Linked DNA regions of Lonchura striata. The protein of the gene in region 2 interacts with the protein of the main gene of each other region in a biochemical or structural test. Links are inferred from orthologs where the notes say so. Each region holds a gene or a part of one and is shown on either strand. Other genes may lie near its edges.

What was found.
Region 1: the proteins of PRKCA (region 2) and NHERF2 form a complex in vitro, tested with the Homo sapiens proteins (2 studies listed by BioGRID and IntAct, with this or other methods). The link is inferred for Lonchura striata from reciprocal best matches to the Homo sapiens genes PRKCA and NHERF2.
Region 3: of the proteins of PRKCA (region 2) and HMGA1, one has a biochemical effect on the other in vitro, tested with the Homo sapiens proteins (2 studies listed by BioGRID). The link is inferred for Lonchura striata from reciprocal best matches to the Homo sapiens genes PRKCA and HMGA1.
Region 4: of the proteins of PRKCA (region 2) and MGMT, one has a biochemical effect on the other in vitro, tested with the Homo sapiens proteins (2 studies listed by BioGRID). The link is inferred for Lonchura striata from reciprocal best matches to the Homo sapiens genes PRKCA and MGMT.

The regions. Positions count from the first base shown.
Region 1 is NC_134618.1:16,766,010-16,772,900, reverse strand, and holds the start of NHERF2 (Na(+)/H(+) exchange regulatory cofactor NHE-RF2), read right to left. Parts: upstream 3,002-6,891; 5' UTR 2,962-3,001; coding exon 2,752-2,961; intron 787-2,751; exon of another isoform or gene 658-786; coding exon of another isoform or gene 643-657; intron 1-642.
Region 2 is NC_134621.1:9,051,208-9,058,972, forward strand, and holds the start of PRKCA (protein kinase C alpha type), read right to left. Parts: upstream 3,016-7,765; 5' UTR 2,922-3,015; coding exon 2,749-2,921; intron 1-2,748. UniProt on the Homo sapiens protein: Calcium-activated, phospholipid- and diacylglycerol (DAG)-dependent serine/threonine-protein kinase that is involved in positive and negative regulation of cell proliferation, apoptosis, differentiation, migration and adhesion, tumorigenesis, cardiac hypertrophy, angiogenesis, platelet function and inflammation, by directly phosphorylating targets such as RAF1, BCL2, CSPG4, TNNT2/CTNT, or activating signaling cascade involving MAPK1/3 (ERK1/2) and RAP1GAP.
Region 3 is NC_134632.1:4,219,137-4,226,777, reverse strand, and holds the start of HMGA1 (high mobility group protein HMG-I/HMG-Y), read right to left. Parts: upstream 3,013-7,641; 5' UTR 2,893-3,012; intron 2,651-2,892; 5' UTR 2,524-2,650; intron 1-2,523. UniProt on the Homo sapiens protein: HMG-I/Y bind preferentially to the minor groove of A+T rich regions in double-stranded DNA. It is suggested that these proteins could function in nucleosome phasing and in the 3'-end processing of mRNA transcripts.
Region 4 is NC_134609.1:31,246,693-31,253,726, forward strand, and holds the start of MGMT (methylated-DNA--protein-cysteine methyltransferase), read left to right. Parts: upstream 1-4,018; 5' UTR 4,019-4,037; intron 4,038-7,034. UniProt on the Homo sapiens protein: Involved in the cellular defense against the biological effects of O6-methylguanine (O6-MeG) and O4-methylthymine (O4-MeT) in DNA. Repairs the methylated nucleobase in DNA by stoichiometrically transferring the methyl group to a cysteine residue in the enzyme.

The DNA.
Region 1 (6,891 bases), on a different chromosome or scaffold from region 2:
AAATAATAAAAAAAAAAAAAACCAGCCTGCGAGAAATGTCCAGGCTGCAGCCAGGGCTGAGCTAAGCCATCCACTGCAGCGATCCCGGGAGCCCACCCCCGAGCAGCCTGGAGGGGCTGATCCATCAGGCCCAGAAAATCCATCTGCTCCCGCTCAGATCCCTTCACATCTGCTGGCACCAGCAGTGCCCGGGCAGGGGCACTTCTCCCCGAGGGGACCTGGCAGCAGCAGCAGTCAAAGCTCGGCAGCAAAGATGCGGACGGGGAAGGTGCTGGCCCTGCAGTGCCATCCCCCAGAGCCCACAATTCGGGTGCTGCAGGCAGCACAGGGGATCACAGGGGTCCCACAGACCGCAGAGATGCTCAGAGGGTCCACAGAAGGGTCCAAAGCTGGCGTGGAGCAGTGCTGGGCTCACCCCACGGCCGAGCCCCCCAACAGCCACAGCGAGAGCAGCGATGGAGCAAAGGTACAAGTGCCAGGGGTGGAGAGTGGCACAGAGCAGCCCCTTGCCCCCTCCCCACGAGCAGGATGAGCAGAAGGGGCTGTGAGGAGCCCCCCAAGGCAGCAGGTCTCCCTGGGGACAGAGCAGAGAGGTGGGGGGCAAAGCAGCAGCTCCCGGCGAGCTCCTGCCCAGCACCGTACCCGCTTCCGAGCCATGCTCCCAGCCTGGAGTCCCGCAGGCTTCTGGAGACAATGCAGCCCGTCCTGCTCATCTGGGACCTCCTCAGCACCCGACCCAGCCCCAGGATTTCCGCAGCCCCACCCGAGCAGACTTTACCCCTGGTGACGGCAGCGCCAGCCCGGCAGCGCCAGCCCCGGGCCCTTCCACCCTCGCCAAACGGCAGCGCCCAGGAAGGACTCACGGTGCCAGCAGCAGCTCCCGCAGAGGTGCCCGTGCCCTGCTCCATCCTGCCAGGCTCCCCGGGCACCTTTCTGTGCTCAGGAGCTGCGGCTCTGCCCGGCTCCGAGGAACCCAGGACGCAACTCTGAGACAGAGCACGCTCTGCCTTCGCTCCTTGGGCAAGGCCAGGAAAAAAAACCAAGAGAACAAAGACAAAAATGCTGCCAGCTTCGGCTGGAAACACAGTTACACCCAAAGAGCAAGGCCTTGTGTGCTGCGGGCTCCCCAGGGCACATGGAGAAGTGTTACTTGTTCAAGGTTGGGCAAGGAGCAGCACGAGGAAGGACCAAGGTGAGGTGGCTGCTCAGAGCCACCGTGTGACCCACCAGGGCATCGCCCTCGCCACGGCCCATCAGTGCTGGCGAGGTTTTGGGGGAAGAAGAGGTTCTTGTGGTATTGAGGCAGGAAAAAGGGTGATCCCAGCGCTTGCACTCTCGCTCTCAGATGCCACGGCAGCCAGAGCGGGCACCGGGCGAGTTCCTGGACACCCTGGATGGGGACACCTCGTTCCAATCACTGCTCTGCAGCAGCCAGCGAGTGCCAGCGCTCCATCCTGCCGCCAGCAGCAAAAACACAAACGAAAAAACAAAAAGGAAGAAATGGAAATTTCCCCCTCCCATTTCACTTGACCTACTGGGAAGCCCCAGCACGTTTCAAAGGCACAGCTGGCTCCGCTATCGCCCGTCCCCAGCAGCCCAGCGCCAGCAGGGAGCTCTGGTGGCTTCCAAGGCACCACAGGAACCCAGCCCTCCTTCCTGGCCAGCCACATCAAAGATGGGGATCCTCCTTCAAGGGGTTTGAAATCCCACTCAGGACAAACATCAACTTTCACACGGCTGGCTCGGAGCGTCAAAACAAGCTCAACTCGCCACCAAACCCCACCAGGCTCATCCAGAGGAGTCCACCAGGCTTTGTTGGAGCCACCTGGAAGGCTGTTTCACCTCCAGCACGGCAACATGCACACCTGGAGTGAGGTCTGGGAACACACGGCCCCCCAAAACTCTGTGGGGTCACGGCACATCCCAGCTCTGCCCCCATGCAGCGCTGGCAGCGGGGCTGAGCAGATGTTTTAAGTTACTAAAACACCAAATCCTGCAGAGCTCCACAAACCACGAGGCAAATTGTGCCCCTGCCAGGCTCCGAGTGTCCAGCAGGACTGGAGCAGCTCGAACCTCGCTGCTTGCTGTTTTGTTTTTTCCGCATTTTTTGGGTTTTTTAGACTAAACTGTCTGACAAATCCAAGTTTCAGTTTTACAAGGAGAAAATGCCACAGCCCGAAACAGCTTTTGTTGGAGAGCAGAGAAACGGCAGCCTTGGACCTGCCCAAGCGTGGTCAGGGAGAGCCACGGCTCCCCTCCGAGCCCTATCGCTCCCCGGCCAGCCCAACTGCCGAACATCTGCACGGCTTTATCTGCAGATTTTCAGGCATCTTCCCACACTCGGGGCTGCACAGGCAGGCGCAGCTCGCCCGAAGCAGCCAAGAAAACCCACGGCAGAGCCGGAAATAAAGCCCGGGTCTCCCCATTCCTTTCCACCACAGATTGCATAACGCGGCAGAGCCCTGCCCAGCCCCGCACACCTTCGCCTTCCCCACCTTGACACGACTGCAGCGTCCTGCGCCCGCAGCCCGACCCCGCACGGAGCTGCGGATCCCGGGCCACGCAAAGCCCGGCCCCGGCATTTCGGGGGAGCATCCACCGCACCGCTGCGGCCAGCCCAGCGCTGCCCGGCCGGGGATGCTCCGGCGGGGATATTTTGGGTGAAACCCCCGCTCTGCCCGCCGCAGGGAGGCTGCAGCGGGCACGGCCCCGCTCGGCCCCGGTGCCCGTGTGCCCCGCTCCATCCCGCACCTGGTGATGCGTCTCCTGCTCCACGTTGAGCCCGTTCACCTCCACGACGCGGTCCCCGGCGCGCAGCCCCGCCGCCTCGGCGGGCGAGCCGGGCTCCACTTTGCGGATGAACTGGCCGCTCTTGCCCTTCTCGCCGTGCAGGTGGAAGCCGTAGCCGCTCTCCCCTTTCAGCATTCGGCACAGCCGCGGCTTCAGCTGGTCCTTGGCCATGGCCGGCGGCGGAGCGGCGGCGGCGGCGGAGCGGGGCGGGCGCGGGGCCGCTTTTATGGGCGGCCCGGGGCGGGCGCCGAGGGGCGGGTCGGGACCGGGGCCGGGGCCGGGGCCGGGGCCGGGGCCGGGGACGGGGACGGGGCCGGGGCCGGGGCTGCGGGCGGCGGTGGGAGCGGGGCAGCAGCGGGGCGAGGGGCCGGGGCCGGGGCGATGCGCAGCTCGGCCATGCTGCGGCTGCCCCGCGGCACCGGGAGCGCGGCGGGCGGGGACGGCGGCGGGACGGGAGGGGACGGGGCGGAGCCGCAGCGAGGGACGGGGCGGCACCGGCACCGGCACCGGCACCGGCACCGGCATCGGCACCGGCACCGGCATCGGCACCGGCATCGGGACCGGCACCGGAATCGGCACCGGCACCGGCATCGGCACCGCCACCGGCATCGGGACCGGCACCGGCATCGGCACCGGCACCGGCATCGGGACCGGCACCGGCATCGGCACCGGCACCGGCACCGGCACCGGCATCGGCACCGGCATCGGCACCGGGACCAGCATCGGTGTCGGGATCGGGACCGGGACAGGCATCGGCACCGGCGCCGCACTGGGTCCGGCATTGGCACCGGCATCGGCACTGGCACCGGGACCGGCTCCAGCACCAGCATCGGCGCCGGGATCGCGACCGGGACCGGCATCGGCTTCGGCACCGGGACCGGGACTGGCATCGTCACCGGCATCGGCACAGGGACCGGCATCGGGACCAGGACCGGCACCGATGCCGCACCGGGACCGGGCTCGGCACCGGCACCGGCACCGGCATCGGCGCCGCACCGGGACCGGCACCGGCATCGGCACCAGCGGCTGGTGGAGCCCCGGGGCCAGAAGCCCCGAGCAGCACGATCCGACGGCTCCCTGTGGCACGGGTGCCAGGGAAGCCGTGGCTGCTCCTGCATCCCCGAAGTGTCCCCAGGCTGGCCGCGGCTCGGAGCAGCCTGGGATGGTGGAAGGTGTCCCTGCCCATGGCAGGGGTGGCACTGGGTGGATGGCACTGGAGCTTTAAGTCCCTTAAGGCCCTTCCCAACCTAAACCGTTCCAAATTCGATGACTCCTGGTGGGGAAAGGCTCCGGCTCCATCTGGGCTGAGCTTGGAGAGGCCACCCAGGTTTCACCTGGGCTGAGTTTGTTTAATGGAACACAGAGATCCCCGTCTTCACCTTTTTGCATTCCTCACCTTCATTTCCTTGAAATCTTTTACAAGAGGACGTGACCCAGAGCAGCTGTCACAGTGCTGGCCCCGAGTGTCACATTCCTGTGACACAGGTTCTCAGGCCTTCTTCTGCAGCTTCTCCTTCCTCATCTGCTTTCCTCCCAGATTTTACAGGGCTGAAGCAAACACAGCAGCCAGCTGGAGGCTGGAAAGAAAAGGCTCCAGAAATTAATCTTGATTTATTTTAATGCGTAGTTTGCTTTAAAAACCCTACTTCCACTGCAGTTATACATAAATTCACCCTTAAAAACCCCGGGACCACAAACATGCTTGGAGACTGCATCCTGAGAAATCACAGCATTATTTATCTCTGCCAGTCCTTCCCACCTCGTTCCCTGCAGGCACTGTGGCTCTGGGAGCTGCAGGGCAGGGGCTACCGGGGGCACCGGTGCTGTCCCCTGGGCTGTCTGTCACCGTGGGGTGGGCACGGGCTCAGGCCCTGCCTCCAGACACGTGTGGCAGCCAGGAGGGTGTGATGGCCCACCAGGAGGATGTTTTAGTTCCCCCAGGAGGATGTGATGTCCCCCATGAGGATCTGATGTCCCATCAGGAGGATCTGATGTCCCCCATGAGGACCTGATGTCCCAAAGATGACCTGATGTCCCCCATGAGGATCTGATGTCCCACCATGAGGATCTGATGTCCCCCAGGAGGAAGTTTTAGTCCCCCATGAAGATCTGATGTCCCCCAGGAGGATCTGAGGTCCCACCAGGAGGATCTGATGTCCCCCAGGAGGATGTTTTAGTCCCCCATGAAGATCTGAGGTCCCACCAGGAGGATGTTTTAGTTCCCCAGTGATGGTTCTTTGGCCCCTGCACTGCCTGTGTCACCCCAGCAGCGCCGACCTCAGCACGAAGTCCTGGGTGACCCAGAGGAAGCAGAGAAACTGAGGCAGGTTTATTTGCTGTACAGCACAGCTGCTCCCCAGAGCCTCTTTGTGGAGTCCTGAAGCTTTTTGTCGGGCTGGAGGAGTGCGAAGAATTGATTTTTCCACTCGCTGGCTAAACCAAAATATGGGAGGGAAAGGGGGAGGAGAAGGAATTGTTTCAAGTTTATTTGAACCAAAAAGTTTTTCTTTGCATTTGGCGCAATAAAAACACAGTGGGAGAAAATCTTTCAGGTGGTCAGAGTAAATATTTGAACCCTTTTGAATATCTTTTTGAAAGCATTGGGAGCATGAAATTTTTTTTTAAAAGATAATAAAACAGAGAGAAAATATTTCAGAAAGGGGGGAAACAGTTGTTTACGTTTTTTTTTAAGCACAAGCATTTTCTCAAGTGTGCCCTGGGCATTCTTTCCCCAAAAAACCCCATTTATTTATTGTGGAGGATGTAGGGGACGCTCTAGTCAGCTGTAGCTCTGACTCAGCACTGGATCTTTGCCTGAGCACCTTGTGATCCTAAAATAAAACATTTATTTTGTGATCGCTGTACTTCAGGAGCTGTGGCTGTGCCTCTGGCACCAGCTCTGGGCTGTCCTGGGATCATCCCAGCGTGCATCCCTGGGCACCAACATGGATCACAGGGAAATCCTGCATTTCTTCCCTGCAGCTGGTGGAGAAGGAGCTGGAAGGAACATTAAAATACATCGTGCAAAGGTAGATCCTCCCGAGGTACAAAATCCCTTTGGTTCTCCCCATCCTGCCTTTTCCCATCCTCCCAGGTCTCACTGAGAACAGGAGAGAGGTTCCTGCGCCTGGAATGGCAGAGCCGTGGGTAAACCCTGCAGATCCTGCTCAGGCAGAAGTTTTCCATGTAAATTTTGGGTGTTTTGACTCAGGCACATCTCTCAGTCCACACTGGGCCTGCCTGGAGGCAGAGGCAGTGCAGGGACCTGTGAGCTCCGTGCCTTGGAAGGGTTTGGAGCTTTTTTTGGTCGACATCTGCTTCCAGTTCTGGGCAGTGACAGAGAATCCCACCTGTGTCCTCCTCCCTTTGCCTCGGGCCTGATGCTGTTGCAACATAATCCAAAATGCAGGTGCTGGGAGGACTTTCCCAGCTGCAGAAATCAGAGTCGGCCTCCAGGCTCCTTGGCAGCTGCCAGTGGGGATTTTGGGGAGCCCACAAAGTCCATCTTCCTGCAGAAACTGGGAAATCCTCAGCTGAGCCCCCAAGCCTGCGCAGTCAGCTTTGCTCCTGAGGCAGTGGGAGGGTGAGGAGCCCTCTGAGGAGGAGGATGGTCGATGATGATGGAGTCACTGGGCTGTGCCAGAGCTTCCAGAGGGATGGGAAGTTTTCCACGTGCCTTTGGGTTCCTCACAGCTGAGGTGCCAGGAGCCCTGTGTGTCCCTCGTGCCTCCACGAGTGGCTCTGGGCAGCTCTGGTGGCTTTTCCATGTCCCACTCAGCCCATCCCTGTCCCGGCATGTCGCTTGAGCTCATCCTGCTTGGGGCTGGGAGCTGCTCCCAGCTCTCCTGGCTCCTTCCCAGCTGTGGGAGCTGCTCTTCCTCCCGCTCAGCCTCCTCCTCCTCCTCAGTGCTGGTGTTTATCCACAGCCAGCTTTCCTCCCCGCAGTTTGGGCAGCCCAGCACCTTCTGCTGGCTGTGCAGGGAGCTGTGGCCGAGCCAGGGCTGCTCCCGGTGCTGGGGATCCCTGCTGGGAGAGCCCCTGGCACCGCAGCGACCGGCTCTAACTGGGAATAAATGAAGTCCTGGGATTTCCCAGCGGCTC
Region 2 (7,765 bases):
CAAGTTCCAGCAAAGGCACGTAAAACAAACCAGACTTGGGGTTTCATCCAGGTTTTGGGATTACAAGCTGCTGTTGTGAGGCTCAGCTGAAGTCCAGCCATTTGCTGGATGGAAAGCAAACAGGTGAAAAGTTTTGCTTGTTTCAACACAAATAAGAAGCCAGGCCCCTGATTTTCATACTGATTATTCTCCAGCTTCCTTGCTTCATTTCCATAATGAAATACAAATGTGTGTGTAACACTTCTGCAGTGAACACAATGACAGTGGTATCCAGAGTTCCAACACATTTTGTACCTCTGGCAAACTCCACTGCTGTGGATTTATTTGTTTATCTTTAAGCATCTAACATTCTCTTCCCACAAAAATAACTGTTTTGAGTATCCTGCCTATAAACATTTCTCTGCCTTTTTCTTTGCAGCCTGTTTTTCATCTGAAGAGCTGGAGCTGCTCACACTCAAATAGACAAAAGCCATGAGCTGGAGAAGCTGCGTGCAATTAACAACACGTGGCTTAATTATCAACTTTATGGAAATGATTTCTTAAAAAATGTATCAACAATTTCTCCACTTTTTATTTATTTATTTATGGCAGAGACAAGACCTTCAGTGCACTGTTCCTTCAGGAGGAAGCTGAAATGACACAGAGCATTTCTCTACATTTTGCTGCACAAGTTGCTACTTCTTGTTATTATAAGCAAACGTGAACTAGGGAAATCAGGAGAAAAATCGAATTATTTCTTTACTTGGCAGTACATGTGCCTATATTGTCACTCTGATGCTTTTACCACTCATCTTCACAAAGTTCAAAAGCTAGAAGCATGGAAATACAATCATAGGAAAGCTGGTAGTGGGACTAAGAACATGAAACAGACCTGAGATAATTTTTAAAGCTTTGAAATAGACCTATTTGCAAATATTCCTGTTTTATGTACTCCAGAAGCACGGCTGGGGCTCAGTGTCTGAACTGAATCCCTGCAGAGCCGCACTCTCCGAGCAGTTACAATGTAATTTTTAAGTAAAAAGTCTTTTAAAAAATATCAACATTCCAGAACCAAAGCCGAGAGGCGAAAGTTGTTGAAGAGGAAAGACTAAACTATTGTGATCCATATTACGTGATGAAATGTAATCTAAGGGAAAGAATCTGTGTATTTCATTGAAAGGTTGTGTTTACTGTTCTTTATACCTTCCAACGTTGTTAATTGACACAAGTCATTTTGGAAACACTCAATGGTGCGCGATGGTTGTTTGAGAGCAGCCCATCTCCAAACCAGAAAACAAACAAGTTTTCGAGGTGTCAGATGCTCTTCTAAGGAATGTGAAGAGCTTCCCCAGGCTCAGCAAGCACGACAAGACAGGAGCATAGTCGCTCTTGCCACCTGTCAGCCACAGGATACCCTTTCAATTCCAAATCCATCCTGTCATTCGTGACAGAGCTCGGCTTTGTTTTATAATTGTGCTGCTGGTGTGCACAAAACCGCTCGCAATAACCCTGCCGCGGTTTTTCACACTTCCCAACTCATTCTGGTTTAGATTAACTTTGAAGCAGTTTCTGAAGGTCTCTCACTTTTACCATACCCAACTTCACTTTTTTTCCCCCCAGAAAAATTTAAAAGAAAGATAAACTCAGAAATTTGACTTGTTTCTTGTGCAGTCTACCATGTCAGCTTTCCTTCCTTAACTCTGCAAATATATTTCAATCATTTCTGGCACAAGCACAGTCTTTGCTTCAGCATGCAAGCAGAGGAAGTAAAAGGTCCCTGTCCAGACACATAAACACACATAAAAAGAGCAAGAAGCGTGCCACGGACACAGAGCCAGCTGCGTGCAGACCTTTTCACAACTTTGGCCAAAATAAATCACAGCTCTCGCTTTCGGCACCCAGAGCCGCAGCGCAAACTTGAGTAGCGGAGCAGGACTGGAGCGAGGGGAAGGAGGGGAATCCTGAGCTGTTTGTGCTGCACGGTCCCCGCAGGTCCGGGACCCCCGCGGCTCTCCCGGCTCTGCCAGCCCGGGCCGCCGCTCCTCGCTCCGGCCTGCGCGGAGCTGCCGCCCTGCCCGGCACGGCACCAACCCGTGGGTGTATTCTTCCCTACCACCTCAGTAATGAGCGTGTTGGTAGGGAGTTTTCCTGCCTCTCTTCCCTCACAACAACCACCCCTCCCTTTCCTCGGCGTGGACCGGAGCAGCGGTGTCACCGTGCCTGCCCGGCCTCGGCAGCAGGAGGGAGCAGGGCAGGCACTGACCAGGACTTAGGGCTGGGGGAGCCGAGTTTTGCCACTCGGCAACGCCGCGGTCTGACACGGGCACGCTCCGTCCCAGCGCGGCCGTGCCCGGCCGAGCCCCCCACCCAGCAGAACCCGGGGACAAGGGGTGGGAAACACAGCTCTGGACCAAGTGCGAAGCGCTGGTCCCAGCGCGGGGCTCCAGACCCTGCTGGTCTCTGCGACCCCCCCGCAGCCCCTTCAAGCGGGGTGCGCCCAGCCCCGGGCCCCCCGAGCCGCGGCAACCCGCCGGGAGGAGGATGCGACAGCGCCGGGGCAGCGCGGTGACACCGGGGGTCACCCCCGGCGGGGTCACCTGCCCGGCCCCGGCGAGAGCGGCCGCACCGCGACCCGGCTGCCCGGGGACGGGAGGCAGGGCAGGGACGGCGGCGCCCCGGAGCCGGGGCTGCCCGGGGCGGGGAATCCCCCGCGGCGGAGCGGGCCCGGGCGGCGGCGGGCGCGGGGGGACGCGCGCTCCGGGCTCTCACCAGATGAAGTCGGTGCAGTGGCTGCAGAAGGTGGGCTGCTTGAAGAAGCGCGCGATGAATTTGTGCTCCTTCACCTCGTGCACGTTCTTCTGCCTCAGGGCGCCCTTGCGAGCGAAGCGCCGCGCCGCCTCCGGGTCGGCGCCGGGCTCGGAGCCCGGGAACACGTCGGCCATAGCGCCTCCTCCCCACCCCCCGCCGCTCCGGGAGTCGCCGCCCCGACGTCCGCCCCGTCCGGCGGCCGCCGAGCCTCTGGCAGCGGCGGCGCTGGGCGCTGCCTCCCGCTCCCAGCCTGACGTCGGAGCGGAGGAGGATCCCGAGCCCTCTCGCCGGCTGCTCCGCCCGCGGCTGAGCGAGCGAGCCCCCGGCCGGGGCGGGGCGGGCGCGGGGCCGCCCCCGCCGGGGAGCGCCGGGGAGAGCGGGGGGGCGGCCGCACCTGCCGGGCCTCGTCAGCTCCCGCAGCGCCCCGGGCTCTCTCTCTTTCACACACACACACCAGGTGCTCTCACACACCGGGATCTCTCTCTCACACACACACCAGGTGCTCTCACACACCGGGATCTCTCTCACACACACCGGGATCTCTCTCTCACACACACACCAGGTGCTCTCACACACCGGGATCCCTCTCACACACCGGGATCCCTCACACACACACACACACACACACACCAGGTGCTCTCACACACCGGGCTCTCTCACACACACACCGGGATCTCTCTCTCACACACCGGGATCCCTCACACACACACACACACACACCAGGTGCTCTCACACACCGGGATCTCTCTCACACACACACACCAGGTGCTCTCACACACCGGGATGGATCTCTCACACACACACCAGGTGCTCTCTCACACACCGGGATCTCTCTCACACACACCAGGTGCTCTCACACACCGGGATCTCTCTCTCTCACACACACACACCAGGTGCTCTCACACACACCGGGATCTCTCTCTCACACACACACCAGGTGCTCTCACACACCGGGATCTCTCTCTCACACACACACCAGGTGCTCTCACACACCGGGATCTCTCTCTCACACACACACCAGGTGCTCTCACACACCGGGATCTCTCTCACACACACACACCAGGTGCTCTCACACACCGGGATCTCTCTCTCACACACACACCAGGTGCTCTCACACACCGGGATCTCTCTCTCACACACACACCAGGTGCTCTCACACACCGGGATCTCTCTCTCACACACACACCAGGTGCTCTCACACACCGGGATCTCTCTCTCACACACACACCAGGTGCTCTCACACACCGGGATCTCTCTCACAAACATTCACACCAGGTGCTCTCACACACACACCAGGTGCTCTCACACACCGGGATCTCTCTCTCTCTTACACACACACCGGGGCTCTCACACACACCGGCTCTCACACACACCGGCTCCCCCCAAACGCGCCGGTTCCACTCAGGCACACACCGGTTCTTGTCTCTCTCTCACGTTCACCTGCACAGGCTTCCCTCACACACAGGCACACACCGACGCTCCCCTCGCTCACACGCGCACGCTCCCAGGTTCCCTCAAAACACGCACACAGAATCTCCCCTCTCACTTTGTCTCTCTCCCTCACACCCTCACTCACAGAGATTCCCGGGTCACGCACAGACAGATCCCCCGCACACAGACAAGGTCCCCTCTCACTTTCTCTCACACCCAGAGGCTCCCCTCACGCCCACACAGACACAGCAGTCCGCTCTCTGCCCCTCGCACAGCCCCACGCAGGTCACACACACGCAGTTTGCCCGCTGCCAGCCGTGGAAACCCACAGGTCCCCTCCCCGCAGGACCGTGACCTCCATCCCTCTTTCCCCGCTGCCTGCCTCCGCCCGGAGCGGCAGAGCTGCCGCAGGCACAGCCGTGTCACAAAGCACGGGGAGCCGCGGCTGCCTGCACCCACCCCAGCATCGTTATTCCTGCACCACAACAAACAGCGCAGCTCTCCCCCGCACACCTCTCCCCTTCCTGCCGCTCTCAAACGCAGCCCCAGCCATGCGAGCGCTGAACCGCCGCGCACCTCACACACAGCGCCACAGGACGTCCTGCCGCTGCGCCGGGGATCTTTGGGTACCAGTGTAAACATCCCGCAGCGTTTCTCACTTCAAAATCCTCAACAAAAAGTGTAGGAAACATTCTCCAAGTCTCTTTCTCTCATTAGGACGTTCAGCACATACACAACAGACTTTTACCTTGGTTTTATGTCATCAAGTGTTCCATGAAGTAATAGACTTGTTCATTTACTCACATTACACGCAAAGTATTCCCAACTCCTTGGACACAGGAACATCTGCCATGGCACCCTCTCATATTAATACACTCAGAAAAATCATGACTATGCTAATATAAAATCACAATATATACATAAAGTAAAGAAACCAAGTATTAATCATATTGTTTTTAATAAATGTTATTTCCGTGGTTACAAATTTACACATATGGAAAATAAATGCACATTAAAAGTCCTACCCCAGTATATCTACACACTCGTCTATCTGTGTAAGCATGTGCAAGACATTTTATTTCACAAGAATGAAAGCCAGCTAATTAACTCAAATTAAGTCGTATTTGCTGATGGGAAAAGTGCACATGGACACTCAGCACAGAACAGAAATAACTTGCCACATACTATCTTAATTTAAAAGCCTCAGTTTCTGAGTGCAACCTGGGAGAACTGGAATGTCCATGGCATTTCACCAAATAACCAATGATAGGGATGGCCCTGCTTTTCTCTAAACTTAGAGAATCACACCAGATGCCCTAGAAACTGTTGCCATATGCCCTTGCTTCATGGATTTTATTTTGTGAGCAACTACTTCCAAATTTGATCTGAAATCCAATGAAATATAAAGATTTTTAATTTGGTCTCCACCTATTCTGCACATGTTTCAAATCTCTTCTTCCTCTTCAGAGGGAATAGATTTTCTTGCCTTAATCAATTTATGCCAAAGCATGAGGAGCACAAGAAACATTTTGTACTCTTGTTAGGATTCTATCAAGAAATATGAAACGTGTTTATTTCCATTCCTTTTGTGCTGTATCACAGATGCAGACACCAAAACTGGAGAATCTGAGAGAGACATAACTTGGATTATATCGGGTTTGGGGCAACCTGCGTATTTTGTTGTTCCTTAAAATCTCACAGACCTGCTGAATCATTTTGGATTCCAGTTTCTTTCCTGCCAATGACTCTGGACCAGGTTCATTCACTGAAACAACGGTGAATGTGCCAGGCTCGTGTCAGGCCCCAGGGAAGAGCCAAATGGAACCAGTCACAGCACTACAGGATCACAGTAGGATTGCTTTCCTGTCTCTCTCTGTAAAGCATCTATTTCATCTCGAACCTAGCAATTATTTGTACATCGTGACTAGTCACACTGGGCAAAAAAAATCCCCATTATGTGTGCTCAGACAACCAGGTGAACCCTTAGAACACATCCTTGCCCTGCTGTATTTAACACACAACTTCTTTTGCTGCTGCAGTTTGGATACACAGCACTTACACAGTGCTTTTATTATATTTACCTCCAATATCAGGCTTTGTCACCATGGCCAGGCTGCTCTTACAGTGATGCTATAGGGCATGGTGTGTTCCACTCCCAGACACCTTTGGGATGGTGCTGTTGTGACACCAGCTCCTCTTGCTGGGAGGTTTTTAATTGCCTAGACACTCATTTTTCCTACTCTGGACTCAGGTTCTGTTGGTGATACAGGAACTCATCCCTCCTTTGTAAATAACTGGAGGAAAGACGTCTGCCACCTCTTCCTGAGTGAGCACATTCCCCCAGCAGCTCATGGCTTGCTCTTCTGCCCAGGGGAGTGTTTGCAATTTGCTTCTGGTTCAGGCCATCTGGACAAGGAGTCAGCATTTTCACTGTTTGTGTTCAGGCATATACATGGCCATTAAATCAGAGCACCAGCTTTTCCAACCTCCTGGCCAGCAGCTTTAGAATTCCAGACTCCAAAGTGTCATTTATGTGGTCTTCTCCTGTATGGCTATTTGGATAATATCCTAGAGACTGTCACTGATAGAAGTTCCCATTGGATGATTTACATGTTGTCTTTTTTTTCCTCTAAAACATTTGATTATTGCTGTAACAAGCATAACTTCTGAAGTTCTTTATATATTTCCATCAATATCACCCTAGGTCTGTAAGTGCATCTGGGTTCATTTTGAAAAAGGTTTCTGCTGAAACGTCTCATCTTTTACTCATCTGCTGGAACAGAAATCCACCGTCTGCATCACTTTTTAATCAAAAAGCAGTAGAAAAGGAAATATGTATCAGGCTCTGTTCTGCCTCAGAGCCATTCAAAGGGAGCCAAGGAGAACACCTCCATCAACTGCTTTGGCAACTGTGACTGTTTTATTATTTCCTGCTTCTGAGAAATACTCAGCCAACAGGAATCACTTCCTGCTGGAGGCCTATAAGGAAGTTCACAAGCCAATTCCTCCTCACATTTCAAAGCAAATCACAACTGCTTCCCTCTCTAGAGAGTCAGGGGGACAAGTGTCCATTTTCCAAGTCCTTTTAGGAAGCATGATTGCAACACTGCTGCCTACAAATTATTTGCTTCACCCAATCTCATCTTCCAAAGGAATTTCCGCAGGGCCAGCTCATGAGACATCTCCACCAGCAACTGTTGTGGGATAATTATCCCACTTACTTGCCATAATTAGGTCAAAATCAGTTACCAGTTTGCATTAATCCACAGACTTCTTATTATAAACTAAGGAGTCAGGTTTTCATAATTTATTTTTTCCACACAATATAAACTTTGTTTCTCTCTTTGTCTGAAATCACCCATCAAGTTTAATTTTGAAGCTCCCATTCTTAAGTTTATCATGTTTTAACCAATCCTGGTTTTCTACTACAAATTCATTCACCAAAACAAAAAAAAACAAAAACAAAAACAAACAACAAACAACAACAACAACAAGCAAACCAACTAAAAAAACCCCAAACCAAAAACAACAAAAAAGCCTGTTTATT
Region 3 (7,641 bases), on a different chromosome or scaffold from region 2:
CTGAGCCTCACTGGGGAGGGTGTGGGCAGGACATGCAGCCCCGAGGAGCCACTCAGACCTCTGAGCCTTTTCAAAAAACAGGCGTCAGCTCCTGCTCCCCTCTGGAAGTGACTCATGAGTGCAGAACAACAACAACAAAAACCACCCTCAGAGTCTTTTTTTTTTTTTTTTTTTTGGGAGACAGAAACCATGCTGTAGTGTAAACACCCCGAAAATATTACTCACAGCATCCCAGAGCCCTTCAAGGAGTCTCTTAGGAAAAAAAAAAAAGAAGTATGGTTTAGATTTAGGCCAGCAAAGGGCCGGCTGCTGGTCGGGCTGGGACGGGGTTTTGTCTCTTTTTAAGTCAATCTCTGTCAGAGGCAGCACAGCCTCGAGCTGCTCCGTGCCCCCTCCTGCAGCTGGAAACAGATGGGCCCAGCATGACCCCCACCCTGCTGGGCTCTCCGCCTCTGGAGGGGCCACCAGACCCCACAGCAGCTCCAGCTGGGAATGCCAAGGGAACCCTGCACGGGTCGGGGGTGCCGCTGGGTCTGCCCGCCCTGTGCCCCCCAAAGCAGCTGCTGTGCAAAGTTGTTGGTGCTGGGGAAAGCACGTGCACCTTCCACCCACCCCCATCCCTCTGCATCCCACCCCCAATTCCTGCTCATCCCATCTCCAATTCCTGCTCATCCCATCTCCAATTCCTGCTCATCCCACCCCCCAATCCCTGCTCATCCCATCCCCAATCCCTGCTCATCCCATCTCCAATTCCTGCTCATCCCACCCCCCAATCCCTGCTCATCCCATCCCCAATTCCTACTCATCCCATCTCCAATTCCTGCTCATCCCACCCCACAATTCCTGCTCATCCCATCTCCAATTCCTGCTCATCCCATCTCCAATTCCTGCTCATCCCACCCCACAATTCCTGCTCATCCCATCTCCAATCCCTGCTCATCCCACCCCCCATCCTTCCTCATCCCACCCCCTCTCCTCCGCAGGGGCTCCAGCGCTGAGGGGGCTCGGGGGGCTCTGGCAGAGGGGGTTGGGAAGGAGGATGCTGGAAATGGGGGCTGCTCCTCTGCCATGCCAGCCCCTTCCCAGGCAGCCCCGCTCCCGAGAGCCGCCCCAGCCGCCCGCAGTGCCCCCGGCCCGCGGGGACCACGCCGGGCACATGGCGGGAGCAGCCCCGGCCCTGCTCACACGCCATCAGAGCCGAGCAGGGAGGGAGGGAGCAGCTGGGTTGCCATGGAGGAGAGGAAGCAGCTGAGGGAGAAAACCTTTCCAGGCAGGGAGGAATCAGTGGGGGACGCGGGCAGGGGCTGCCGGGCTCGCCAGGGGCGGGGGGAGCATCTCGGCACGGTTTGGAGGGGCCGCATCTGCCTCTCCATTGAGCTGGGGGAAGGAAACCTCCTCCCCTTCTCCGTCCCTGTGGATGCTCAGCCTCCGGGGCCTCCTCCTCGCTCCCTCTGCTCCGCAGCAGCCACCTCTGGGTCGCACAAGGACCAACCTGTCCCCTCGGAGCGATGCTCCCTCCTGCTCTCGGGCCTGGTCCTGCCTTCCCAGCCGCCTGCGCTGCCTTACGCTGCTCTGTGCTGATAACCCCATAAATCCCTCGCTCCTGCCACCTACTCTTTAGATTAAACAAACCGGCCCAGGAGAAGCGGGAAGACAGGCGGGGGGGGGGCTTAGATCTTAAAAAAAAAATATATATATATAAATGTATATATATATTAAAAAAAATAAATAAAAGCTCTTCACGCCCAGAAAATCCAGCCTGATGGCAGCTGGAGAAGGATCCCAGCCGCACCTCCTGGCAGAGGGATGGGGAAGGAGGAGGGGAAGGAATCGTGGAGCAGAAGTTGAAGAGCCTGTTGGGCAGGGGTGCGGGCCGGGAGGGATGTGCGGGCTCCTCCTTAGCCCCGACCCGCCGCGGGGCTGCTCTGAACCCCACCCCGGGGCTGCCATTGAGGAAAGTCCCCCCCTTCCTTCCTGGGATGCATAATAAAAGGAAGTGATAAAGGAAAGGAAGGAGGGAGGTGCAGGAGAAAGAAAAGAGGCAGGAAGGGCACCATCAGGGCTTTGTGAAGCCCCCGTCCTGGGGGTGGGGGGCGGTGTAATAAAACCCCTCGTGGAGCCGGCGCTGCAGGCGGGCTGCGGGGCACCGTGCTGGGGGGGCTCGCCTGAGCCCCCAGCCCCGCAACTTCGCCCCGACCCGCGGGTGCGCGGCCCCCACGCACCTTGCACGGTGCCTGTCCCGGGGCTGTCCCGGGGCTGTCCCGGGAACGTGCGGGGCCCCGAGCGCCGTGCGGGGCGTTTGCATCACCCGCAGCCCAATAAGTGGAGCGAAGTCGCTCGGCGGTGGGAGCGGGGACCCCCGCCCGGCCCACCCCCCCAGGTGCATCACGCTGCTATTAACAATAATTAATAGCGATAATGAAGCCCAGCTCGGGCAGGCGCACGCGGCCCGTCCCCGCATGCGGCCGGGGGAAGCGAAGCCCCGGCCCCCCGCGGCAGAAGGAAGAGGAAGGTGGCACTCACAGTCAGCTTGATCCCGGAGCCGGGCGTTCGCCGTGGGTTTCGGGGCCGGTTTTCGATGGTTTTGTTTTTTTCCCGGCGGGTCTGTGTTGCGGAGCGAAGGGACCCCCCGCCCGCGGCGACTGCGGATCTGCAAGGAGAAGAGAGAGGCTGCGGCTCAGCCCCGCATCCCCGCCAGGCCCCGCGGATTTATATAAATAATAAAGAGAGCGAGAGAAAAAAAAAAAAAAATTGCTCCAGGAGGAAGGAAGCTGGGTCAAAATCATTTGCAAGGGAACGAGGGGGGAATAAAAAAAAAAAAAAAAAAAGAGGTGGGGGGGAAAGGGGGGAGAGGGGGGGAAAAAAAAAAACGGAGCGAGCTCCTAGCCTTACTGGAGGGGATCCAGCTGCTAAAAATAGCAAAATCACACTCGAAATTAAATAAGGGCAAACAGGCGAAGGGAGCTCCCAGCGCCGGCGGAGCGGGGGAGGCGGAGCCGGGGCCGCATCACGGCGGGGGCGGCGCGGGGCGGCGCGGCCGGGAGCGATAGGACCGTTCAAAGCGCTGCGGCGGCGGCTGCGCCCCTGCCCGCCCTGCCCGCCCCGGGTCCCCCCCCGGCGGGTGGAGATCAGGCCGGGGAGGATGGAGAGGATGGAGACACCCTCATCCCCCCCTCTGCCAACGCTCCCGGCCGGGGTCGTGGCGGTGACCCCCGGCTGGGTGACCCCACTGTGGGTGACCCCCCCCCCCCCACAATCACCATCGTCACACCCGTGGCTCTCCCCTTTCCGTATTTTGGGGTTTGGTGGCCCCGCGGGGGCAATCGCCATGTGCCGGTGGCCGGAGCACGATGCTCCTTCTGTTTGCTGCCTCCCCACCAGGTCAGCTCCCCAAAAAAGCTTCTGCTCCCCGGGTCGGGGGGCTCCCTCCCCGGGGCTCCCCGGATGCTGCTGCGGTGTTCATTGAATGCGTTACCGCAGCACCACCGCCGAAAGGGGAGGCTGGTGTGGGAGCAGGTTCTGCTGGGTGCACAGTGAGGTTTGGGGGCTCCTGGGGGCCCCCGAGGCTCTCCGGGGCTTTAGGCAGGTGCTGGGCTCAGTCTGCAGGGAAGAGCTTTGTTCAGAATTCCTCTGCTCGGTTTGGAAGTGCTTTGGGTCGTTGTGGAGTCAGCTGAGATCAGCTCTCGGGTGAGGTGCCCCAAAACCCAGGTCCCCCCCTGTGTCAGGGCAGTGTTTCCAACACAAGTTGAGCATTTGGGGTCTTGTGGTGCTTTTCCTCGATGAGATACTGGGAAATCCAGAGCTCAGCATCCCGTTGTGTGAAGTTTTTGCAAACTCCTGTGCAAACAATAACAAACCTAATGGAAACTGATTTGGGTGCTTTTGACCATCTTGACTCTAAGGGCTGAACTCTGAAGTGAGGATCTGAACTTCAGACAGCTGGATTTAAGTTTCAGAAAAGTTTTTATTAAAATATTAAAAAAAAAAAAGGAGAGCCTTAAGATGATGAAATGTGAAAGTATCAACATCTGCCTGTGCAAAACTGCTCTAGCAGGGAATGTTGGTGAAGAAAAACAAATCAAACCCAGCCAGGCTTGGGGCACTTGTTTCTGCTAATTGTTATTTGGATTTTTCAAATCCCCTGCAAATTCCTCTGCCTAAAACACAATCGGAGCAGTGACCCTTTCTGACAATTAAAAAATAAAAGCCAAGATGGGGGCGAACCCTCCTGCAAGAGGGTTTCCTGTTCCCAAACAGCTGCAGGAAGAGCAGGCACCCCCTGCCTGCACCCCGTGCACCTCCTGATCCAAGCCCCCATCCCAGGGCCTTGTGTCCAGCCAGGGGTTGTTTGCAAACCCTTTTTTTTTGGGGCTAAAATTAGTGTTTCCCCACCTGCAGGCAGCCCTGCCTGGGTTTGAATATGTCAGGGTGCCTTTTACCCCAAAGCTTCTGCTCAGGCTCGTGAGCCCAATGAGGAACTTGGTTTGTGTGCTGGCAGAGGCTCGTTGTTATTAATATCCCTCCTTATTTACTGTGCAGCAGCCCGAGTTCTGCAAACCACCGGGGCTGCTCTGCTTCAATCCCTCAAAGTTTCAGCAGTTTCCCACTCTCAGAGCCCACGCTGGAGTCTCCCCACACCGACTTCACCCGTGGGGCGTCCACTTGGTCTTTAAAGAAGAAAAACAGAGCTGGAGGAATGCCCCAGAACTAGAGAGAGGTGGGGAGATGGCCTAGCAGCCAGGTACAGGCACACAGCCACGTGCAAGGAGGGCAAAACAGCGAAAGAACCGCGCTGGAGCAGAGCCCGGGGCTGCAGTCTGAGAAGAACATTTTCACTTTTGTTTCTGCACTTGGGTTCCTGATTTACGGCTCGCGGCTGAGTGGGTTTGGGAGCAGGACTGGGCAAGCTCCCCCATCCCGCCGTTGAGTTCTGCAGCCAGGGAAGAAGCTGAAAATGGCTGGAAATGGGGAAACACATCGCAGCTGAGCCCAACGCGGGGCACGGCGGGGCAGCCCGGGCCGTGCCGGGGTGGCATCGCCCGGAGCCGGTGTCCCGGAGTGCCCGAGGAGCCGGGAGCCCTCCGGGATGCCAGCAGGGATGTCCCGGTCCGGGAGCCCCCCGGGATGCCAGCAGGGATGTCCCGGAGTGCCCGAGGAGCCGGGAGCCCCCCGGGATGCCAGCAGGCATGTCCCGGTGGTCCGGGAGCTCACGGGAGCCCCCCGGGATGCCAGCAGGGATGTCCCGGAGCTCACGGGAGCCCTCCGGGATGCCAGCAGGGATGTCCCGGAGCTCACGGGAGCCCCCCGGGATGCCAGCAGGGATGTCCCGGTGGTCCCGGAGCTCACGGGAGCCCCCCGGGATGCCAGCAGGGATGTCCCGGTGGTCCGGGAGCCCCCCGGGATGCCAGCAGGGATGTCCCGGTCCGGGAGCTCCCGGGGCTGGCCGGCCATGGCGCGGGAGGACAGGGATGGGGACGTGGCCTTTGTTTCCCCTCCCGGCTTTGTTTCCCCGATGGCCCCATTGAGGAAGCCCCATGTGGCCAAAAAGCCCCGGACCCACCCCAAACCAGGCCTGTTAATTTGATTAAATGGCTCCTTCCTCCTTCTCACCCCTGGAGCAGATTAAGCTCTCACCAGGGCAGCGTTTTCCTGCAGCTCCATTCTGCGGACAAATTCCTAAATCACCTGATAATTTACAGTCTTAAAGCGCCGATTTGAGCCCGGGGTTTGCAGGACCAGCGCCGTGGGGTGCACGAGCTGCAAATGGGGGGTGCACACATGAATTATTTCGTATCTCGATTTATTTAGCCAATATTTCAGGTCCGGGAAGACAGCAGATGGTGAAACGGGTGCCCAGCGCTTGGGAAAAGCTGCACCTCTGGAAAGTGCCCTGAAAAAAAAAATCACCCCCAGCTCCTTGGGCTCCTCAGAACCTCTGATTTGGTGTCCAAAAAAGCACCCAGGGGGGATATGGGGGACCAGAGGGTGGCCCTTGAGTGGCACACATCTTATCCTGCCCTGCCCTGCGTCCTGGCACTGCCACCGAGCCCCGCAAAGCCGCGCTTGGGATTTGGGCGCCTAATTCCTGCTAATTTCCCTGGGAAAGGGGAAACCCGAGCCTCTGAGTCAGCTCAGGTTGTCGGGTGATTAGAAGGGCCACCTGGCTAATTACGAGGGTGTGTTTGTCACCTGCAGAGCCTCTGGAGCAGCCGTTAATGGGGCGTGGTGGGGACAGGACCGCGGAGCTGGGGCTTCAGGGGAGAATTTGGTGGCGGTGGGAGGAGGAGAAGGATTTGGAGGTGCTCCCCCTGCCCTGGGCTCCGGGGTGCTTGGGGCTGCAATAAGCACAGCCCCCGCAGCGGGAAATGCACATAAATAACTCCCTGTACCCTGGTGATCCCGAGGCAGCACAGGCTGATCCATGGCGGCCGCAGGGCGAGCAGGATCAGCCGGTGGGGCTGGAAAGCGGCTCAGGCTCAGCCACCCCTCACCTGCACGTCCTGACCTGTGGGGACACGTCCCTGCCCGTCACCCCTACTCGGTGCCAGCAGGGTCTGGTTTAGTGCCACTCCTGCCCCGCGGGATGGAGAGGGTGCTGCTGGTGGCATGGCGATGGGCAAGGGGTCGTTTGTGGGGTGCTCCGGCTTGGGCACTCTATGCCGGAGCATCCCATGAGTTTTGGGGAGCTGCTCGGGCCCCTGGCGGGTCCAACACCGGCTGTGCCACCTCCCGGGCCTGGGGTGGCTGCTGGCTGTGGCAGGGAGCGGGATGCTCCGGGGCTGCAGCCATGGCTGCGCGGCTGCACAATGGCCTTTTGTCTGCGGGGCTGCCCCGGGAACATCCCGCCATCCCAGTTTCCCAGTAACATGAAACCTCCTCGGGGCTGCCTGCCGGGAGCACAAAGCCTGGGGCTGCTGCGGGGGGCAGCCCTGGCCCCGCTCCCGCACATGGGCTCAGGTGGGTGCGGGGAGGCTGCGGGGTCCCGCCTGGCAGAAGGAGGTGGCAGCAAGCAGGGAAGAGGCAGGAATGGAGCCCGGTGCCGTCCCCCTGGGCAAAGATGAGGCTGAGCCACGCTGGGGGTGCTGGCAACTTCCTCAGCCCCGGTGTTCCCCACGCGGGGAATGTGCCAGGGGTGAGAAAATCCCTGCGGGCGCTGCCGGGAGCCCCTTCCCCTCTGCTGGGGCCTGGGGGTGCCGATGGTGGGGGAGGAGGGAGGGAGGGACAGGCCGGGAGGAGCCGCTGTAAATCATTAACGGAGGAGGGGAATGCGAGGGGTCATTAATCGAGGGCTCTCTGGCGGGCTCGCAGTGGGGTCTGGCCGCCTGGTATTTTTTTTTTTAATCAAGGTATTTTATTGCACATCAGATCTGACCAGGGCAGCGGAGGAGGTGGTGACTGCCGGCAGCATCCGAGGAGGGGTGGGGGGATGCACCGCGAGGCGTTTGCAGGGGGCTGGAGGACAGGGATGTTTGTCCTGCTTTTCCCAGCCTTTCCTAGCTCCTCCATGCCCTGGAATCTCGCAGTATAATAGGGAAGGACCCCCCCACTCCCTGGCCAGCTCTGAGCCCGCTGTGGCAAAGGGGACGCACCAGGGGCTCCAAAAAACCACTTTTCCCGGCCAAATTCCTTGACACTTTCCCG
Region 4 (7,034 bases), on a different chromosome or scaffold from region 2:
GTGTCAGAGATTACTTCTATTATTCAAATCCTGTTAAGAAACCGGACTGGGAGTGTTTTCACACACACACACACTCTCCTTCAGGGCCAATTAAAGCACATAATGTGCCCAGCTCTGCATGGACAGGAACATTTCCAGATTTAAATTTGCAAGACACATCCCTGCTGTTGAGAAAACACAAGCGTCTTGGCAAAGGCAACCACAGTTTCTGGTTTCGTTCAGCCTGCTCTCTTTTTTTTCAGTTTTTCCTGGTGATTCTAAGAGTGCAAGGCAAGCCTTATTTACTGGTTGAAGTGAACTCACACCAGGTGACATTGCTGGGGCTCTCTGCAGCTGAAGAGAGGCCGGAGGAGCAGAGGAAGTGCTCCAGGCCAGCCTCTGACTCAGTAAGGCACATACACACAAAGGCAGAAATATTTTATGCCTCTGCTCCAATCTGACAATTTTCTCAGGGGGGAAATTAAGGATCTACAAGTGAGGTCCAAATCAGAGTGATTTGCAATCCTGCATCCTCCCCAGGCTCCATCTGTTTGTCTCTCTGCCTGGCGAGAGGGTCCTTCCAGCTCCAGTGCCCAAGCCTCTCCTCCACAGCAGATGTTGCAGAAAGGAGACGCTTCCAGAGGTTAGTCCTCAACAAGGAATTTAATTCAGGCTCAAATAGTTGTGAATTGACATCTCAAGGCATTTAATAAAACCCTTCCTTTTCAGTTTTTCCATCCCACCCCATCAAAATCTTTGATTGAAAAGTTCATGTGTTGGTTCAAGCCTTGGTTTACTTGTAAGCAAATTCACGTGCTGGTGCTGGAAGACAGATGTTCCAGTCCTGGGGAAATATCATCCTGTCCCTGAAAATGCCACATTAAATGGCAATTAATAACAAATAAAGTAAAGAACTGAAAGCAAATGCAATGCCTTATAAGCAGCAGGCTTAAGTAAAATGAAGACTGAGAGAAAATGCCTGGAATGAAAAACAAAGATATTGGACATGACTTGAAAAAGTTTTAGAAATTTTGGACCTTCTTACTGGATTAGGGTTATGAAAATTCACTCACAAGCTTCAGTATTAGTGAACTAGACTGGATGTGTCATCGCTGAATGCTGGAATTCTTCTAGGCAGGAAAAGACACATCTAACAAGGGACAGTCCCTCATTGCTAAAGGACTGAAATCCAAGTGCTTGAAATGGTACTTGAAGCGACAAAGATCCAAATTTGGGCAGCAGAAGGGTCAGAGATTTGAATAAAATTTTCATAATTCTGAGGGCAGAGTGAACACTGGTCAGAAGCACCTTTTTCACCTCATTTATAAACAGGAATACGTGACACTTCATCAAGTTCCAGTGCAGCAAAGTTTGAAACAGCACAGAGAAACTTTCCTTTATAGTGCAAACACCTAACTTGTGGATCCACCACCAAAGCCCAAGATGGTAGGATTTAAGGAAATCTGGATATTTTACATTCCCTATTGAAGCCTGTTATAATGCAAACTAAAATCATATTAAAGATAATCAATTTTCATGCTCCAGGCAATAAGGAGATCACCTTGGGAGAGGAGGCAGAGAATATTAATATGTATTTTGGGGAGGCTTCCATACAATAAAGTTTCAGGAACTGGCTACTTTTCTGACAAGGATATCAGGATAGAGAGAATATTCCAGCCAGTTCAGAATAACTATTTCTAAGGTATCCCATCCAGTACAGAGCTTGATATTTTTTATTTAAAGAAGGATCAACCTCCCATAAGCCACTGCCTTTGTATGGACATGCAGTGGCAGCACCTTTTAACTGAGTATAAATCCAAGCTTCATTAGAACTAGGGAAAAACTTCATTTTCTCAACAGTTGCTCCAGTGTAACTATTTTCAAATGTATTGGGGAACCTTCTGCACTTTGGACCATATTTTACATTTATTTTCTACTTCTTCTAGAAATTGATTTAACACACAGACACTACCTCAATGCTGTCAGATCTGTATTTATTTACAAATTTTCCCTATGAAAAAAAAGGATTTCCTGAATTCTGCAATGACTTTTTAAATATTGTTCTGATCCTTCCCAAGTGGATTCCTTCATTTTGGGACAGTTTCTGAATCATATAAACTCAAAATTGAGAAACTCATAAAATTTTTGCTGATGTAATTCAGATTGAGACTCTGAAAGATTCTCCAGCTTGAAAACCAGTGGTTGCTTGCTGCAAACTCTGCTGGCATTTCAAATCCTGTTGAGTTTTATTTCCTCAAATGAAGGAAAAAAAATGCAAGTTCACTTTTCTCAGGCACTTTACTCCTTTTTATCTCCTCCATGTCTCCTTTTAGGAACCCTATTTACCAAATGCTTCTCCTTCTACATTAGCTACTAATTCTCTGCCCCCACCTTTAACTCATAACTTTGCAAATCCCAAATTCCAGCCTGGTTTGGGTGGGAAGGGACCTTAAAACTCATCCAGTACCACCCCTGCCATGGCAGGGACCCCTCCCACTGTCCCAGCTGCTCCAGCCCCAGTGTCCAGCCTGGCCTTGGGCACTGCCAGGGATCCAGGGGCAGCCCCAGCTGTGCCAGGGCCTTACACCCTCCCAGGGAACAATTTCTTCCCCAATTTCCCATCTAAATCCCAGTTCCAGTTTAAAGCCATTCCCTGTATCCTGTGCCTCCATCCCTTATCCCAAGTCCAGCTCTGGTGGAGCTAAGCACTGCAAGGGGGCTCGGAGCTCTCCCTGGAGCTGCTCCTCCCCAGACAAACACCCCTGGCTGTGTCAGCGCACACATCGCTGGTTTTGGGATGGATTTTTACACAATTCTGGGTTTGGGCTGGATTTTTAAACAATTCCGTGTTTTCCTCACACGTGCAGCCCGGCCTGGCCTGCAGCCCCAGCCAGGCCGCACCGGCATGGAGCAGAGCCCAGGTTCTCCTGGATCCCCCCGGAGCAGAGCCCAGGTCCTCATGGATCCCCCCGGAGCAGAGCCCAGGTTCTCCCGGATCCCCCCAGAGCAGAGCCCAGGTTCTCATGGATCCACCCAGAGCAGGGCCCAGGTTCTCATGGATCCACCCAGAGCAGGGCCCAGGTTCTCATGGATCCACCCAGAGCAGAGCCCAGGTTCTCCTGGATCCCCCGGAGCAGAGCCCGGGTTCTCCTGGATCCACCCAGAGCAGGGCCCAGGTTCTCATGGATCCACCCAGAGCAGAGCCCAGGTTCTCCTGGATCCCCCGGAGCAGAGCCCGGGTTCTCCTGGATCCCTCCGGAGCACAGCCCAGGTTCTCCTGGATCCCCCCGGAGCACAGCCCAGGTCCTCATGGATCCCCCCGGAGCACAGCCCGGGTCCTCATGGATCCCCCCGGAGCAGAGCCCAGGTTCTCCCGGATCCCCCCGGAGCACAGCCCAGGTTCTCATGGATCCCCCCGGAGCAGAGCCCAGGTTCTCATGGATCCCCCCGGAGCAGAGCCCAGGTTCTCCCGGATCCCCCCGGAGCAGGGCCCGGGCTCTCCCGGATCCCCCCAGAGCACAGCCCAGGTTCTCATGGATCCCCCCGGAGCACAGCCCAGGTTCTCATGGATCCCCCCGGAGCAGAGCCCAGGTTCTCCCGGATCCCCCCGGAGCAGAGCCCAGGTTCTCATGGATCCCCCTGGAGCACAGCCCAGGTTCTCATGGATCCCCCCGGAGCACAGCCCAGGTTCTCATGGATCCCCCCGGAGCACAGACAAGGTTCTCCCGGAGCAGAGCCCGGGCTCTCCCGGATCCCCCCGGAGCACAGCCCAGGTTCTCATGGATCCCCCCGGAGCACAGCCCAGGTTCTCCTGGATCCACCCAGAGCACAGCCCAGGTTCTCCCGGATCCCCCCGGAGCAGAGCCCAGGTTCTCATGGATCCCCCCGGAGCACAGCCCAGGTTCTCCCGGAGCAGGGCCCGGGCTCTCCCGGAGCCCCCCGGAGCCCCCGGCAGTCCCCGGCTCTGCCTCTTCCCTTCCCCCGCCCGGCTGCGCCTTCCGGCGGCCGCGGCCCCGCCCCGGCAGCGCGGCCTGTGCGGAGCGGCCGGGCCGGGGCAGGTGCGGAGAGCGCGGGGCACACACAGGGACCGACTGGGAGAGACTGGGACAGCCGGGGAGCTCAGGGACAGCCGGGGAGCTCAGGGACAGCCGGGGAGCTCAGGGACAGCCTGGGAGCTCAGGGACAGCCTGGGAGAGGCCGGGAGGCTGGGCAGCCCGGCCTGGGGAGCGGGGGATGATGTTCTAGCCGGGGCAGCGCAAACCCGCCGGGGCTGCAGGGGAACCCGGCCTCCGAAAACGTGCTGGTTTTCCTCCGTGCTGGGGAAGGGAGGATGGATGGCAGCAGGATGGGCTGACAGCGGGTTTTGGTGAATCTCCAAAATGTTCTGCGAAGGGCTGGTTCCGTCCCTGGAGCATCCCGGGCGCATTCTGTGCCCCGGGCGCGGCCGTGGATGCGGTGGGCAGGCGGCAGTGCTGCTGGATGTGCTCCGAGCGGGTAAACTGCACCTAAACCATCGCCCAGCAGCCTGCCCAGGGTGGTTTTAGAGTTTTCCTCGCCGGGAATATTCCAGAAGGATCTTAGCGCCGTGCTGTGCCATGTGCTCGGGGATGGCACCACGTGGGCTCCTGTGGTCCCTCCCAGCCTAACCCTAATGCAGAACAAATTAATCTAAAAATATCCTTTCAGCACTTATATAAAAGCCAAGCTCTTGAGATGTTTTAAAGTAACTACAATAATGTAATTGCATGCAGATTTTAAAGCATGGTAAATGTAAAAAGCTGTTTAATTTATGTGCCCCTCCCAAATAAACCATATTCGTGGTGATGTGTATCTTATTTTTGTGGAGTGGAGCTCTTATTGAATGGTGAGGTGCAGTCTCTGCAATGTTCCAGTTTGAAAAGTCTCAGTTTTCAATACTGGGGCATTACATGGGTGCTGTGACAGTAATTTCTCAGCCACCTTTTGTGCCCAGGCTTGTGCCAACCCTGCACAAGGCTCATCATTTGGAGGGGTTTGTTGGAATGACAGAGTTCCCTTGTAAACCTGATGAAGGTTTTGGCCTCCAAGCACTGCCTGTCTCCCTGATGCACTGGGGACTAAAGTTGGGGATGTGGACTTACTTTCTCTGGGGCAAAATCCACCCTTTCAATGTAGGAAATGTCTAAAACCATCATTTTCTTGTGAATGTGTCAGTCTGTGACATAATCTTTTCCTAGTAAAAGTTTTGTTTGCTTTGTTTTCTAACAGAAATGTTCTGAATGTGGACAGTTCTACCAAAATCTTCAGGTTTCAGCAGGAAAAAGATGTGGCTGTGTGAGCTTGCGAGGCGGCTTTAGCAATTCCTGTCTGCATTCTGGCCCATGAAAGGTTCATTACACCAATTATTTCAGCAAGAGAACAGAAGCTCTATAGGAAACCGTTGTAGTTAGAGAGCAACTTGTGTTACCGTGGCTGCTTTACCTCTTGATAATTCTGTAATTAACTTGTCACCACAGTTTAATGCTTCACCTATGCAGAGGATCAGTTCATGGCATCACTGAGGGGATCAGGGCCTGGAGGAGAAGCTGCTGCCCTTTGGGAGGATTCCTGGGGTTGCCCCGAATGGCTGAGTTAAGGACTTGTGCAGGAAAAGCAGGATGTTTGTTATGGGAAGTGTGCCTGAGCTGGAAAGGTTGCACCTGAGCAGTTCTGGTTAAACTGGTGACAGGGGAAATACCTTGAAGGAGCAGTAATGCCAGAAGTCCTTTGCTGGTTTTGTAGTGTTTTCGGGGTTTTTTTCCTATACAATAACGGTTTTGGAGGACTGAGAACAGCTGATGCTTGTGAATTAACCCTCAGGGTGCTGGCTGGACTGGCAGTGTGTAATTTCCTTGTCCTCCTCCTCTGGTGGCATCCTCACCTGCGGGGTTGCAGAGTGGTTGTTCAGGTGTTGGTGCTGGAAGAGCTTCATGGGAACAAATTGGAGATCCAGGTGTGTTGGGGTGTCAAAATTAAACAGCAGCATCCAGACTAGTCAGCTATTCTTCCTGGGATACAGCTGACCTAAATTGCACTTGATTTCTGAAAGAAAAAGCCTTTCTGCTGGTGAGTTATTATGTCATAGTTCACAGAGTAATATCAAAGAATGGTTTGGGCTGCCTTAAATCCCACCCTTTTCCCCTCCCACTGTCCCAGCTGCTCCAGCCCCAGTGTCCAGCCTGGCTTTGGGCACTGCCAGGGATCCAGGGACAGCCACAGCTGCTCTGGGCACCCTGTGCCAGGGCTGCCCACCCTCCCAGCCAGGAATTCCTGCCCAGTATGATGATGGATCAGGGGTTCATCCTTCTGGGCAGGAATTCCATTCCCACCTCAAATTCTGAATGCACGGAGCTTCTAAATCCATCCTGCAGGCATTCATATTCCCTCTGTCACTGCAGGGATTTCCTGCATCTCGATGCTCCAGCTTGTGGAGCTGGCACTGCCCGTTCCCAGAAGTTGTCAGGGAAGCTGGATACACATCCCAGCCGTGGCATAACTCGGAGGAGCCAGCACTTGTTAACTCTATTTGTTTTTATTATGGACATCGATCTGCCAGTCGCAATAATGCATTTATGGACATTTTTCTGCAAGCGCAGCGCTGGTGGCAGTTTTTACTGACAACTTGAGTCATCTGGACAGGAGTCGAAAATACGTTTATTTTATTGACGGATTGTGCAATTCTCTCGTTTACCCAGTGTTCATAAGATATCTGGACTGGTGAGGAGAATGTAACTGATGGGAAAATGGAGGATGAAGTTTTAATTTTGGGTTTGGAATCTTTTTGGTAGCGACAGGTTCCAGAATGTGTTCGGAATAGGTTTGGGAGCTTTAACTTCATTAATGCTGTAATTAAAAAGTGAAAAGCTCACTGTCCTTACAGCAGAATTCCAGGCCTGAATCCCCTCCCTCTGCTGATAGCTGGGAATGGTACTGGTTGGTAATTGTGCTGATTTATCTGAAGGTATAATGGGTAAAATCCTCCTAATGGAAGGAAAAACTCCTGTTGAATTTAGTATTTCTGACATATCACCCACCGC